Alligator mississippiensis: one gene and its partner. The protein of the gene in region 1 interacts with the protein of each later gene in a pairwise test. Links are inferred from orthologs where the notes say so. Each region holds a gene or a part of one and is shown in the gene's direction. Other genes may lie near its edges.

Evidence for each region. The genes of interacting proteins can lie anywhere in the genome.
Region 2: the proteins of FCHSD2 (region 1) and ABCF3 interact in binary tests that used the Homo sapiens proteins (3 or more experiments, as listed by UniProt). The two-hybrid records come from large-scale screens. The link is inferred for Alligator mississippiensis from reciprocal best matches to the Homo sapiens genes FCHSD2 and ABCF3.

The regions. Positions count from the first base shown.
Region 1 is NC_081824.1:468,074,046-468,081,936, forward strand, and holds the start of FCHSD2 (F-BAR and double SH3 domains protein 2), read left to right. Parts: upstream 1-4,466; 5' UTR 4,467-5,395; coding exon 5,396-5,455; intron 5,456-5,858; coding exon 5,859-5,956; intron 5,957-7,891. UniProt on the Homo sapiens protein: Adapter protein that plays a role in endocytosis via clathrin-coated pits. Contributes to the internalization of cell surface receptors, such as integrin ITGB1 and transferrin receptor.
Region 2 is NC_081830.1:83,797,449-83,805,027, reverse strand, and holds the start of ABCF3 (ATP-binding cassette sub-family F member 3), read left to right. Parts: upstream 1-4,301; 5' UTR 4,302-4,357; coding exon 4,358-4,430; intron 4,431-4,640; coding exon 4,641-4,788; intron 4,789-4,929; coding exon 4,930-5,009; intron 5,010-5,382; coding exon 5,383-5,435; intron 5,436-6,861; coding exon 6,862-6,959; intron 6,960-7,095; coding exon 7,096-7,218; intron 7,219-7,443; coding exon 7,444-7,579. Other genes in the region: matrix metalloproteinase-23-like, read left to right, coding at 1-75, 337-457, 943-1,195.

The DNA.
Region 1 (7,891 bases):
CCTCTTGGGCTTGTTCACCAGGGGTGACCCTGCCAGGAGTGTGGGACTCCAGGCAACATAGCTCTGACAAGCACTGGGACATGTAAGCCTCTCCACCACTACAAGGTCTCGGTCTATCGAAAAGAGTGGAGAATCATCGGTCTGGTCACTGCTACAGGTGTCTTCCAGGAGGCTCCCTAGAGCAGGGCATCCAAGCCCCTCCACCACCTCTGTGCACAGCCCCTGCCTCTTCCTTTGCACCAGTGAGTCTCCACCAGGAAGCGGCAACACCGGGGGGCAGGCAGGGTGGGAGCAAAGGGGGCTGCCAGAAGCTTTTAAGGGTGCTTGAAACGTGTAGCTTCAAGGGTACAAATACCTGCATGTGATTCACAAGAACAACCCAGGCAAGTCATACAGGGCAAGGCTGAAGGAGCCAGGCATGTTCAGCTTGCAGAAAAGGCACTCAAGCAGGGACATGACAGCAGTCTTAAAATACCTGAAGGGCTGCCATCGAGAAGAGGGAAAACACCTTTTCTCTCTTGCTGCAGAGAGGAGGATGCGGACCAGGGACTTGAAGCTGCAGCAAAGTAGGTTCAGGTTGGATCTCCAGAAAAAACTTCACTGTGAGAGCAGAGAGGCAGTGGAAAAGACATCTGGAGAAGCTGTGGATGCTCCATCACTGGGGGTGTTCATGGAGAGGTTGTACAGCCTCTGGTCAGGGGGTGATGCCTGTGTGCTACTATGAGGATTTGATGTTCTGTTTCTGCTACACGTGTCAGGGGGTTTCAGGCCTTCTTCGGAGGCACTGGGTGCTGCCGCAGCCCAGGCTGGGGATGGGGAACATCCTGCTGCAACCAAACCCGGAGGTTCCTGGCTGGAGGGTCCTGCCCCTACATTTGGGGTCAGACCGATGCTGCATTGGGGCCAAGAAGCAGTGCTGTACCATGATTCCCAGTGGCCCCAGGCAAACTTTTTGTATCAGGACCCCCTTTGCCAGAGAGAATGACTTTTTTGTTGCAAAAGTCTTTATCGCATCTGTGGTACTAATGTCTTTAAAAAGCTCATTCTCAATTGATAACATTGCTAGTAGTCCTGTAGATGTGCAATATTAAAACTTGTAATTTTTTTTTTCATTTTCGGGCCCCCTTTCTGTCCAGGCCCTGGGCGGACACTTGGTTTGCCCATGCCTGCGTCCGGGTCTGCCAGGAAGGGATCAGAGTGGTAAGGACTAGGGGGGGGCTTGGTTGTAGGTTTGGTTGTACTGGGGGTGACCCTGATCAGACTGGTAGGGACTGGGCGGGCTTGGTGGCAGTTTCGGTTGTACTGGAAGTGACCCCCAATTGGATTGGTAGGGACTGGTGGGGCTTGGTTGTAGGTTCAGTCATACTGGGGGTGACCCTGATTGGACTGGTAGGGACTGGGGGGGGCTTGGGTGTAGGTTCAGTCATACGGGGGGTGACCCTGATTGGACTGGTAGGGACTGGGGGGGGCTTGGGTGTAGGTTTGGTCATACGGGGGGTGACCCTGATCAAACTGGTAGGGACTCAGGGGGTCGTTTTCCTCCCTAGCAGCTGCCTGGGCTCCCCTGGGCTACAACCAACTTTTGGGGGAGCTGCTTGTAGCCTGTTGCTCTAAGGACAGAGGCAGACAAGATGCTTTGGGTAAACGTAGTTGGCAGCCGTGCTGGTCGGAGACAAAAAGAAATGCAAACATGTAAAACTCTTGGTTCAGAGGTGAGACCTTTCATTAGAGCAACTGAGAAATTGCAAAAAAATAAAAATAAATAAATAAAAAAACATTTTTTTGCAATTTCTCATCTAGTTTAATGAAAGATTTCATCTCTGAACCAAGAGGTCTGGATTTTTGCATTTCTTGGGGGAAATACAATATCTTTCATTAAACCAACTAAGTCGTGGGAACAGCTGGCTTCTTGCGAACGCTGCAAACAAGGGGCTCGCGCATGCGCAATCCCTCCCCTCGGGCGCAGCAAGGGGAGGAGGTAGCCCTGCCCGCAGGGGAGGGAAGGGGCGTGGCCACGCTGCCCGTCCCTCCCCTGAACTCTATGGTGGAGGGCGGGGTCTCTCTAGCCAATCAGGCGGATCAGGCTCGGTGGTGGGTGCGCGACGTTCCGCTGCGCATGCGCAGAGAGGGGGGGCGGTTGCGGGTGCCCCGGAGGCCGCGCGGGGGCGCTGCGACCCTGCCTCCGCCTCCCCCGCCCCGCCCCCCTCCCCCTGCCGCGCCGGCCCCGCCTCCTGCCGCGGGGCCGCATCCTGCTCCGGCCGCCGGGAGCGGCGCGTGCGGAGCGCGACCGGCAACATGCAGCCCCCGCCGAGGAAGGTGAGCGCCGGGCCGGCCCGCGGTTGGGGTGCGCGGCGCGCGGCGGGGTGAGGTTCGGTTGCACCGGGGGGATGGGGGTGGGTAAGGTGAGGTTAGGTTGCACTTGAGGGGGGTAACGGTTGCACTGGGGGTAGGTTAGGTTGCACTGTGGGGCTGGGGTGCGTGATGTTCGGGTGCGCTTGCACTTCGGGGGGAGGTTAGGCTGCCCTGGGGGGTGGCTACGCTGTACTGGGGGTGGAGGTGGGTGAGGTTGGGTTGCCCTGGGAGCGTAATGGCTGTACTTGGGGGGTAGGTTAGCTTGCACTTGGGGGGGGGGGTGAGGTTAGCTTGCACTGGGGGCAACAGTTGTGCTTCGTGGGGTAGGTCAGGTTGCCATAAGTGGGGTAGGTTGTATTGGGGGATGGAGGTGGGTGAAGTTCGGTTGCCCTGGGGGGGGGGTAGGGTAGGTTGCATTTCATGGGGTAGGTTAGGTTGCCCTGGGGGGGTAGGATAGGTTGCACTTCGTGGGGTAGGGTAGGTTGCACTGGGGGATGGAGGTGGGTGAAGTTCGGTTGCCCTGGGGGGGTAGGGTAGGTTGCACTTCGTGGGGTAGGTTAGGTTGCCCTGGGGGATGGAGGTAGGTGATGTTAGGTTGCCCTGGGGGGGTAGGGTAGGTTGCACTGGGGGATGGAGGTAGGCGACGTTAGGTTGCCCTGGGGGGGTAGGGTAGGTTGCACTTCGTGGGGTAGGGTAGGTTGCACTGGGGGATGGAGGTGGGTGAAGTTCGGTTGCCCTGGGGGGGTAGGGTAGGTTGCACTTCGTGGGGTAGGTTAGGTTGCCCTGGGGGATGGAGGTAGGTGATGTTAGGTTGCCCTGGGGGGGTAGGGTAGGTTGCACTATGTGGGGTAGGGTAGGTTGCACTGGGGGATGGAGGTAGGCGACGTTAGGTTGCCCTGGGGGGGTAGGGTAGGTTGCACTATGGTGGGGTAGGGTAGGTTGCACTGGGGGATGGAGGTGGGTGAAGTTCGGTTGCCCTGGGGGGGGTAGGATAGGTTGCACTTCGTGGGGTACGGTAGGTTGTACTGGGGGATGGAGGTAGGTGATGTTAGGTTGCCCGGGGGGGGTAGGGTAGGTTGCAGTTCATGGGGTAGGTTAGGTTGCCCTGGGGGGGTAGGATAGGTTGCACTTCGTGGGGTACGGTAGGTTGTACTGGGAGATGGAGGTAGGTGATGTTAGGTTGCCCTGGGGGGGGGGTAGGGAAGGTTGCACTTCGTGGGGTAAGTTTGGTTGCCGTGGGGGGTAGGGTAGGTTGCACTAAGTGGGGTAGGGTAAGTTGCACTGGGGGATGGAGGTAGGTGATGTTACGTTGCCCTGGGGGGGTAGGGTAGGTTGCACTAAGTGGGGTAGGGTAAGTTGCACTGGGGGATGGAGGTAGGTGATGTTAGGTTGCCCTGGGGGGGGTAGGGTAGGTTGCACTTTGTGGGGTAGGTTAGATTGCCCTGGGGGTAACAGTTGCATTTCATGGGGTATGTTAGGTTGCCCTGGAGGTAACAGTTGCACTTCATGGGGTAGGTTAGGTTGCCCTGGGGGGCTGGGGTGGGTGAAGGTAGGTTGCAATGGGGTGACCGGGGTGGGGTGGGGGCAGCCGCGACGGGGCAGGGCCAGGGCCAGGGCACAGGGTTGGTGGCCGTGAGATGGGGTGTGTGGGGCCTGGTGGGGAGCTGGGGCTGCTGCGCAGGGCAGGCGGTGGGAGGCCTGGGGGCGCGGTGCAGATGTGGGGGCGGCGCGCGGGCAGGCTGAGGTGTGCGGGGAGGGCCCCGGGGGTTCTGGTGGGCGGCTGCACGGCGTGCGCCGGGGGTCGCAGGGCGAAGGCAGGGCCATTGGGGGCGGTGGTCCCTTGGGGTGTGCAGTGGGTGAGGGAGGGAGGGCCAGCTGCTTTGGTGAGTGTATTTGGGGGGTTGCCTCACGTGGGGGCTGTAACCTTGAGGCAGGGGTTGTGTGGAGTTGGCTGAGGTGCTGATACAGTGGCGTGGCGGGGGCAGGGGCAGTTTGGGGTCTGCGGGGGCACAGAGCCGTGGGGGGCCGGCAGGTGGGGAAGGAGCTACCTGCAGGTGAGGGCTGCTGGGGGGCCGGTGGTGTGTAAACAAAAGGCTGCAGGCGCACGGCTGTCTCCTGTCGCTCCCCGGTAGTCGGGCGGCTGCAGTGGGACGGCTCCCTGTCTTGCTCTTCTGCCTCTGTTGTTCGGAGGATGGACGCTGCTCCTCTCGCAGGGTCTCGCTAACGCTTCATTGGGTTTTAGTTTGCACTGGGCAGCTTATTTATATTGCGTGTGCGTTCTTCTTTGCCTGCCTCAATTTTATTTCTGTGCAGATTTTCTTTCCATTGCACCGTTTAGCTTTTGCAAAGGTTTTATTTATTTATTTTGAATGGGCTTTTAATTTAAGGCAAAAGAAGTTTCAGTATTTCCCTGATTAAAAATATAATTAGATCTTCCTCCTGCTTGGTCAGAGCACAGGTTGTGTGTCTGTGTGTGTCTGTGTGAAGGTGAGAGACGTGTCTCTTTCTGTAGTGATTCTGGGGTTTATGGTTGGTGTTCGAATTGCGTGGGGGTGCTGTTGCTAGCAGACCAAGTCTGAAATGCCGTTCTGCTTTGCTTGAGAGGAGAGCGGAGGTGTGTGTCAGATCCTTCCCTTCACCTCCTCCTTGTCTTGCTCTCTTCCCCTTCCCCCACAGCGGGACTGTTACACATTTTCATTTTTATGCATATGTCACATCTTTAGATGCATTGATTCTGTTTTTTTTAGGCTGCCACATGGCTTCCCCTTAATTACTGAAGGCAGCCATACATTCCAAGATGCCTTGTCTTAAAAATCCAGTTTTCTGTGCTCAGATCAACCTTTATTTTTGGTGCTGATGTTTATCACAACAGTTCCTCCCACCTCCCACCCCCTGCCAAATATCACTCAAGTTCCCTGATGACTGAAAGCTTGGCCTTAACATTGGGAGGTTCAAAGGACTATAATGCTTGTCTTAAAAATGTTTAGAAGTCAAACTTAAGGAGAAGAAAGGCTCTTGATCTGATGTCCTGTCAACCAGATGAATGTATTTAAAGGCAGCTTGTTCATGGAGCCATTTTAATCAATGCCTATTTCATAATTGTGTAAGTTTAAATGTTAAGGTTTTGATTGATTGTTTCTTCCCCTGGCCCTCTTCTTTGTCTTAAGTCATGTGTTGCTGAACTGATTTTGCTTTAGACAGGCTTATATTTAGAAGCCTGGAATTAAAAACCACGCGTATTTGTTGTTAACAGCAAGGCAGAGCTCTGAGGGGGCCTAGTATATGAAATGTGGACTTTGCCAAGGAATGTATGTTGGAATTGGTCTGTAATTAAGTCTTTACATAGGATTAAATGACCTAACAAACTAGCTTTACACATGCTGACAATGTTTATGATCCTGTTGCTTGTTCGAATACGCAAATTGTAGTTAAGGACATAAAATATTGTTTTATTTTGAGATTGCAGTTAGAATCTAGAGAAAAAATACGGTCTGTGTTTTTTGTAGGTGAAAGTTACACAGGAGCTAAAAAACATTCAGGTTGAGCAGATGACAAAGCTGCAGGCCAAGCATCAGGCAGAATGTGATCTACTTGAAGATATGAGGTAAGGTTACAGAAAATGCTACCAGATTCCTGTAAGATCTCCTTTTGGAAGAACATTTGGGTTACAAAACTCCGGGAACTGATGATGGAATTTCCTCTTGGATTTCCTGCTTTGGAGCTGTTCAAGCTTTCACACAGCTGGAAATTATAACTGGAACTAACACAATGCAAACCATTTTTCTTCTCTTCAATGGGGAAAGTTATAAAAATGTGTCATGAAGAAATCCGGAAAATATTGATCTCTTCAGCAGTATTTCTCTTCTAGAATAAACTGACAGTTTAGTTTGCTTTTTGTGATGCCACTAAGAGTATAAAGCAAATCTTTATAAAATACTGTGTAAACTGGTGAAGTCTTATAGTTAGCTACAAGTAATTTTGGATGGCGTTCATTTAATATAAAATGTAAGATATTTACATTGATATTAAAATATTTTTCTTGCATTCCTTTGCATGTTAGGATCAGTGGAAAAGGTCTGCATGTAACAAACCACAGTTTTGTTTGTCTTTAAATAACCTGATTCTCTTTTAGCGTTTTGTGATCAAAATGTCTGTGAGGACTAATACACACTTTGCATTATATGCGGAAATGAATCAGTAACCGTGGTTGGAGGCAGTCAACTTCTAGACTGGTCATGCTGTGAAACAGTCATATTCATCAATACAACTATTGCTGTCCATCTCTTTGGCACGATATATTCCGCTCATTAAATGAAAATCCTGCGTGATTGGAGATAATTACGTATTATTTATTCATTAAAAACTAATCAAGTGGCAGTTCAACTTCAGGAGGATATCATACAGGTGTTATCTCTATGTATCCCTTGCGTATGAAACCTGTCGAAACAGAAATTCATGCGTTCATAATCTTATCAGATCCCCTCTTTCTTTCCTGGCTATTGAAAGAAGCTTCTTTATGGAAAGATCACAGCATCTATTATCTTGGACTACAAGTAGTGACTATGCATTGTTTACACAGTAAATACTGGTTAATGAGTAGCAGACTGGTATGCAAAGATTTTTTTTTCCTTGGATAAGAACTTAATTTTATAACATCTGCACCTGCTAGCTTGGCTGGAGCCCAGTTCTGCCCAGCATTTCTCTGGTATCCCCTTAGTTCACAGAGTTCAAATTCAGGCCCTTGGTGGTGTGTTTTACTGGAACATAGCACATAAATGCTGTCATGTCATTAAACAATGCTTAGTTACAAGTACAAACTCAGATTTCAAATTTCTTTCTTGAACTAATTTGGAAATCTTAATTTTTCAAATATAGAAACTGGTTTGGGATATTAATTTAAGTAAAGTGGTCACTGAGCGTACATAGTCTCTTCATCAGCCTTGTTGCAAGCATTTTGCATGTGCAGAATTACTCTGTGGATTTACAGGTTAAGCATTCTTTAAACGTGAAATGATGTGATAGGTTGTGACAGCTCCGTTACATCAACGATGTGTTAAAATCTTAAATATAAATGGATAGAGAGCAAGGAGAACTTTTGCCTAAAATCTAAAATGGCTTTGTTTATGATTGTTACAGTTCTTTCTTGGCAGTTAGATGTAACTGGGGTTTTTTTGGGACTATAGGGCCACAAAATAAAGTTGGTCTGAATATCAGGTCCTGTATGTGAGAGGTCCTGCAGCTCCAGTGGGCATTGCTTTCTAAAAGACTCCAGAAACCTGGTGATGCAGGTGTATATTCTGCAATCGGAAGTGAGGCCACCTGGAAGAACACTAACAGTTCATTCATAGCTTTACATACACTACCGATGAAGTTGGGTTGGCACCAAAGGCTCCATATTTTATGGAAATTTTTAAATGAGGTTTTTGTTTTAAAAACAATCAAGCATTATATAGTTATGCAGCAACTTTTATGACCTGAAAAGACATCCGTCCATGGCCACCTGACTTCACGGGAAAGGGGTGGGGGGTCTGTTTCTTTA
Region 2 (7,579 bases), on another chromosome or scaffold:
CCCGCCTGGGGTTCTGCGCGCGCCGGCCAGCCTTCATGAAGAGGCACTGCCCCAAGATCTGCAACTCCTGCTTCGGTGAGGTGCCCTCGCCCCACAGCCACGCAGTGGCACGGCCCACGGCAGCCAGCTCCCCACAGAGCCCGAGCTGGGGGTCGTCCCCCTGCCCAGCCCCGCCCCGCCAGGGCAAAGTCCTCCTGGCACCCCCTCATGTCCCGCTGATGCTGCCCCTGCCAGGCCTGCGGAGACCTTCCCACGGGGACAGAGGGCTCGCAGGGGGTGGGTGCGAGGCCCCACAGCTGCTGGTGTCACTGCTCTGTGCATCTCTCTGTCTTCCAGAGGCCCCCGCTGCCGCCCCCACTCCCCCGGCCCGGCCTCCCCACGCCAGGTACATCTCCGAAGGCAGAGTCATCACCTTCCATTGTGGGCTGAACTCCTCCAGGCCGCACCTGCACGTCAGGTGAGATGCAGCAGGAGAGAGGCTGGGCTGCACCCTTCCCGCAGTCACTCGGGTCCGGGCAGCAGCTACCACCCCTGACCCCGAGCTGCCTAAGCCCCAGCCTGACCCTTGGCCTCTGCAAGCAGACCTCTTCCACGGGGCAGGGAGCTCCTCCTGGAGCTGTGGAGGGAAGGAGGAGGGCGGCCGCTTCCGGACGCAAAGCAGATGGGGGCCCTGGCAGCTGAGCTGGGACGTCTTGTATGGCAGCGGCGGCCAGGGGCCTTGGTTCGGATCAAGCCTGAACAAAACCAGTCCCTGCATCTTTACCGCTGCATCAACTACGCGCCCCTCCCTGAGCAGCAGGCAGGGAGCGAGATGAGCGCTCAGCGGTGTCTGGAGGAGGCTGGCACAGAGAAGGTGCTCACACCTGTGCAGGGACGCTGGCAGCTGTAGCTGGCTGAGAGCAGCTACGCTGGACTTCTCACCACTGCCCCCTTTCTCCACAGGTGGTACAAAGATGGGGAGCTCCTGTCCTGCTCCGTGCCTGGCTTGGAGCTGCTGCCGCGCCAGGGGCTGCGCATCCTCGCCACTGAGCTCAGCGAGGGGCAGTACACGTGCCTGGTCCGCCGCGCCGGCAAGATCCTCCGTGCGAATTCCTGGCAGATCAAGCTGAAGGCCATCACCCCTTCTCCAACCCAGCCACGCGGGCCCCACGGAGATGTGCAAGGGAGCGCACAAGCCCAGTCCACAGGGCAATGAGACGTGTGCGATCCTAGCTGTGTGCCCCCCAGGCTCCTAGCAGGGGTCTCCCACTGCAAAGGGGTCTGTCCCATCTTCCTGAATAGCAGCGGACCCCAAACCCCTAAGGACTCCTCCTCCCCTGGGCCCTTCCCTGGTGCCAGCAGGAGTCATGGTGCTTGCTATTTCTGGCCCTGGGGCAGCAATTTCCCGCCTGTCTGCTGGGAGAGGGTGGGATGCTCCTCTCTCTCCACTCACGTGCACGATCCAGGGGTCCCTTCTGCAGCAAGAAGCAGTGAGCTCTTTCGTGTTCCCCCTTCCCCTGCCCCTCAGCCCCCTGCTTCCACCCTGGATCTTCCCTGCCGCAGCCCTGGCAAACTGGGCACTGAATTAAAACCCAGATGCAAACCCCAGTGGTGTTCCTCTGCCCTCCTTCCTGGAACCGCACTGCCCTTTGGAAGCAGTGATCCTGGCACTGCCAGTGACCGTTAGGCTGACTGCAGTTAGTGGCAAAATCTTTGCTTTTGCAAGGGCAGCTTGCACGGGAAAGTGCATGGGGGGGGTTCCTGTAATGACCCCCAGTGACTACAAACAGGGATCGGGGACTCTGCCTGCCAGAGGCGGCATTCGGACTGGCCGCCACAGACTTTGGATGGTTTCTCCGCTGTTCACCAGCCCCCTCTGGCGCCCAGCTGGGACTTTGTCGCCTGTGGGATGTAGCTGGTGGTGACTGCTGTTGCCTTGCTGGGCAGAAGTGCTCCTCTCTCCTGCCATCCTGCTGAGCAGGGGGCAGATGTGAGGGGGATGACAGCAGATGTGGCATTTTAGAAGTGCTTTCTCCCAAATTCTAGCGGGCTCCTCAGCCCCCCTTCGAAGCCCACGCTCTGGTATAAGAGTCACACTGGAACTGCTCTAAGGGACTCGATCCTACAGTGCGGGGTACAGGATGCGATGAACTGGGATAGTTCAAATCATTGCTGCTAAAGATGCTGTGTTGGAAGGAGCTCCTGGGCCAAAATCTGCTGTTTTGAAAGCCTAGCGTCCATGGACAGCGGGTCCACGTAGCCCAGGGGCATTTTAAAGGCAGAGCTAGGTGGAAGGATGAACCAGCATGAATGATGTAAAGCAGCAGCTGAGAGAGAGGTTTCCAGTCTTCCTGCTACAGTTTTTATTTCTTCATACAGGGGCAGCTTTGCATTGAGGGAGACCGCCATCACTGTCACCTGATCTTGGGGACAATGGGGTTTAGAAACAGAAAGACATCCTCAGCCTGCCCTGCCCTGGTGGCACTCTGGGGCCACGGCTTTATGCCTTCCTCCTCTTGGGCTTTCCCTGGTGGCCGGCAGGTCCTGCGGCCCAGGGGGTGCGCTTGCACCCTGCATTGATTCCTGCTCCATCCAAAGTTTTAAACCAACTGTCTGGCAGCGGCAGCAGCGTTTCTAGTCGGGCCCGGCTGAAGGAGTCGTTTGACTTCATAGCTTGTTGCGCTCGAACTGATCCCTCCTAAACTCTTCACTCTACAGGTGTTAACGACCCTCTTTTTCATTATCTTGCTGCTCCGCCTGTCAAGCTGTCCCTTGTTCTGCAGCCTGTTTGCTGTTCCTGGTAGCAGAAGCTCCTATTTCACAGCCTTGCAGCTTGTTTTTAACTCATTCCAAAGATTCACCCAAGTTTAGGGCTGGAAGGGACCTTGTGAGATCCTCGGGTCCAGCCCCCTGCTCTGGGCAGGAAAGGCAGCTGGGGTCAAATCACCCCATCAAGGTGTGCGTCCAGTCTCCTTTTGAAGATCTCCAGGGTAGGCGCCTTCGCCACGCCGCGGGGAGTCTATTCCAGAGTCTGGGCACACGAATCATAAAGACGTTTTTCCTTATATCCAGTCTGAAACCTCCTTCTAGGAGTTTATGTCCATTGCTCCTGGTCTTCCTCTGGGGCGCTTTGGTGAATAGTTGTTCATCTAGCCCCTGATGCTCACCCCCGATATATTTGTAAGCGGCCACCAAATCCCCCTGAAGTCTTCTCTTTTCTAGGCTGAACAGTCCCAGATCTGTCAGCCTTTTCTCGTAAGGCTTGCTCTTCAGGCTTCTAATCATACGAGTGGCTCTTCTCGACTCCCTCCAGCTTCTCCACGTTCTTCTTGAAGTGGCGCCCAGAACTGGACGCAGCCCTCCAGCCGTGGCCTCACCAAGGCCGAGTGGAGCAGGAGAATCGCTTCCTTAGTTTTGCTCGAGATGCACCGGTTGATGCACGCCAGCGCAGTGCTTGCTCTGCTACCTGCAGCACCGCACCGGTGGCTCCTATTCATTTTATGGTCACTTACGACCCCAGGTCCCTTTCACACATGGTGCTTGCTAGTGTAGCGCCACCGAGCCTGTAAGTTTGTCGCAGATTTTTCCTCCCCAGATGGAGCACTTCACACTTCTCAGTGCTGAACAGCATCGGCTTCCAACTAACGTGGCGATGGCCGCCTGGATCGTCAGCCTCCTTCGATGCACGGCCGCGCTTCCCCACAGCTTAGTGTCATCGGTGAGCTTTGCCAGTTTGCTTTTCGCCCCCACATCCAGGTCCTCGATGAAGACGCGTCGGTCCAAGCCCCGAACGCTGGGAGACCGCACCGGCCAGGCCGATATGGTTTTACTGCGAACTTCCAGTGAAGCTCTGGCTTCGATCTTCAACCGAATCGTCCAGGCTGAGGAGTAAAGCTTCTCATTTATTTGTAACCGGAAAAACGAGAGACGGTGTCGCACGTGATCCTGCACCTCCCCCTCGCAGCCTCTTTGCAAAGCCCTAGATCTGCCCTCGCCCGAGGCTGCCGTGGGAGGTCGGGGATGCGTGGGGCTGCAGGCCGAGGCTGCTCCCCACCAGGGAAACGGCACTGGAGCAGCACGTAGCATGCCGCCACGTGGGGCAGCAGTGCGCATGCGCCCCCTCCGCACAAGGCGGGAAGCTTCGCCCTGCAGGCCCACATTCCCGGCATGCCCCGCGCCTCGCGGACTCCATGTCCCAGCAGCCCCCGCGCTTCCTCCTTCCCGGCAGCCCTTGCGTCCCCGTCCCCGGGTCCTGGACTCTGTTTCCCAGCAGCCCGCGCGCATGGCGGACCCGCCTTCCCGGCAGCCCCTGCGTGCGCTGTCCTTTCCGGGACTCCGTGGCCCGGCGGAGCGGAGCGGGGCCGGGCCGGGCCGGGACATGGCCTCGTGCGCTGACATCCTGCGCAGCGAGTTCCCCGAGCTGGACGGGGAGGTGTTCGCCTACGTCACCGGTGCGCTGGGGCAGGGGCTGGGGGGTAGGTGCTAGGTCAAGGGCTGGGGGTAGGTGCTTGGGCAGGTGCTGGGGCAAGGGCTGGGGGCAGAGACTGGGGGCTGCCCTGCCCCGCCCGGGGTGTGCAGCAGGTGCCCTGGCTTTGCCCCCGGCCGCCCGCGCTGCCTGTTTGTGGCGGAGGCCCCCGCGCTCAGCCCCCTTCCCCCCCCAGGGGTGCTGCACAGCGGCGGGGCGGATTTCGAGTCGGAGGACGAGCTGTTCGAGGCGGTCGGGGAGCTCCTGCAGGACGTGTCCCGCGACTCCAAAGACGATGAGGACATCCGGGACGTGTGCCGCAGGATGTACGACGCGCTGCACATGTGCGTACCGGCGGCGGGGGGGCGGCAGGGCCCGGGCGGGTGCTGCCTTCGCCCCCCGGCTGTGGCGGCGTCCCGGCCGGGGCCGGGGAAGCAGGGCTGGTGCCCGGGCAGCTTCCCCGTTGACCGCCGTGTGCGTTGCAGGGACGACGAGAAACCCCGGGGCTGCAACCAGGTGCTGCTGGACGCCCCCATTCAGCTCTCCCAGATCACGGATGGCTGTGGTGAGGAGGCTTGGCTGCGTTGGTGGGCTGCTCGCTGGCCCGTCTCCCGTGCGACCTGCCCCTTCCTGCAGGACTCTTACTGGGGGTGGTGGGAGGGCTGGTGCCGCTGACGGGGCTCTGGAGGCGACTAAAGGTCCGTGAGGCCGCCAGACCCGGTGGCAAGAACCAGGGTAAGGATTTAGGTTCTGATGTCACCTCGGACGAGCCGTTTGGCCTCTGTCTTTCTCGGTGTTTGCACCTGCCGCGCCAGGCTATTGCTCCGCCTGCCAGCGAGTCGTGTGAATTCGTTGCCGTCTGGGCGGCACGGAGCCGGGAGCCGGGCCCAGCGCGAGGGTGCAGAACTCGCGCTGACGGACTTCCTGCTTGATTGCAGATGCGGGCGCGGACCTGTTACCAAAGCTGCTGCTGAAGAGAGACCAGACCTCGGTAAGGAGGTCTTACGCTGGTTTATTTTTACCTGGAAAAAACGATAGATGGTGGCGCACGTGATCCTCACCTTGCTCCCGTTACTGCTCCCCAGGCTGCAATAAACACGCGGAGCAGCAAACTGCCCCCTCTGCTTCGCACCTTGTGAGAGCCCCTGCTTTCCCCCAGTCTGTCCCGCTAGAGGTCTTCTCTAGTCAGGTTGGGGGTCTTCTGTTAGGTCCATAACTACGTGTTTCTGCTGCTTCCTCTGTGTCAAGGTTTGGGTTAACTTCAGGGACTGCTTGGACTGAATCTGGTAAATACAATCTCCCAGGGAACGTTTGGCCTGTCAGCCTGACATCCCAAGCAAAACAAAGGGGGAGATGATACAGGATTTGATGGTTAAAGAATCAAATGGCAGGCAGGGAGTGATGTCCAACAACATGAACTTATAGATTCTGTTGAATTTAAGATCGTGTCAGTTGATGAGGGGGTTGCCAGCCTGGTTGTAAGGAATAGTGGCAACGTGGCATGCTTGGACTTCTGCAGGGCATTTGGCTTCTTCCTGTAGGGCTTTGTGATTAAGCAGCCAGGCTGTTACGGACTCGTCAGCACGGCACAGACTGATTACAAGCTGCCCAACAAATATGTCTCCGTGTACGTGCAAATGGGGACTTGTAATGAAGCAGTTTTTTTGCAGTGAGCAGTTCTTAGTCTTTCACTACTTAACCTTCTTACCACTGACCTGGGGTAAAACCATAAGATTTTCCTTGTAGATGCCTTGGGTGGAGGGGACAGGCTCTCTGAAGAAGGATCTGTATTGCCTGGCAGGCTGGGTGCAGTTGGTGTGACCAGATACTAGGTTACATTGTTTGGAAAATTGGCGGCAGTTTAACTATAATGGTTTTGCTTGAGGAAGGAATTGGTTTGGGGGAATCTTACAGCTGGTCAGGCAGATCAGCCTGGTCCCTTCTGGTCCTTTGAGTCTGCGCAGTGTTTCTGAGCCCCATCTTGGTTTGTCGACCACATAGTGGGAGTTTGGGTCAGGTTGCAGGAAATTCTGGTCACCAGGGAAGTGGAGCAGCTGATGGAGGGAGAGGTGGGGAGAAGCGACTGGGACACTCGGAGCTCCTGAGAGATTGTGGTGTTTTATATGCGGGACAGAACGAACGGTTGCCAGATCATCTGCATGGCACCCGCTGGCCAGCCTTGCCCATGGACCACTCCATTCCTGAGCGAGTCCCCAGCTAGAGACGTTTCCCTGCAGTGAGCTTTAATTCTGTCTCGCCCCTTATGTCCTTGTGCCCCACCAAGTATTGCTCCTTCCTGGGAGCTTCCCAGGCCTCTAGGATTTGTGTTCAGTACCTGGGCTGCTCCCTCCTGGACCCGTGCCTGAGGATGCCTGCAGGATTCTCGGCCTTCTCTAAACCCCTTCTTTGTGCCCCAGATGGTGAATGCCAAGAAGCTGCAGAAAGCCGAAGCCAGGCTGAAGGCTAAGCAGGACAAGAGGTTGGAGAAGGATACCCTGAAGTCCAGTAACCCGCTGTGAGTGTGCAGGGTGTGCCCCAGAGCCAGCCAGGCTTTTAGTCGCTTGGGTCCATGTGGTGTGGGGGAGGGGAGGTTGACTTGCCCAAAGGCTTTTTGCCTACGTTGAAACTTGTCCTCCCTTTTCTGGTGCCAGGGTCCTGGAGGAGGCGTCTGCCAGCCAAGCTGCCAGCAAGAAGGAAACACGCATGGAGTCGTCGGGCAAGAACAAGTCATATGATGTGCGCATTGAGAACTTCGATGTGTCCTTCGGTGAGCGGTGAGTCCTTGGGAGGCTGGGGAACATGGGACGAGGATGGGCAGAGATGCCCTAGTGGGAGCCTGGAAATACCCTGGTTTGAGGGAGGCAATGGGACAGGCTTGAGGGGCAGGGCAGGGGTGTGTTGCCTTTGTAGCACTGTCCTGAGCAGTGAGCTAACTCCCGTCCGCCCATGAAGTCTGGAGGCTGCTGCTGAGCAGATGTCTGGCTCTTCCCTTTGCATAGGGTGCTGCTAGCAGGCTCAGACCTGAACCTGGCATTTGGCCGGCGCTATGGACTGGTGGGCAGGAATGGGCTGGGCAAGACTACCCTGCTGAAGATGATCGCCAGCCGGAGCCTGCGCATCCCCTCGCACATCCGC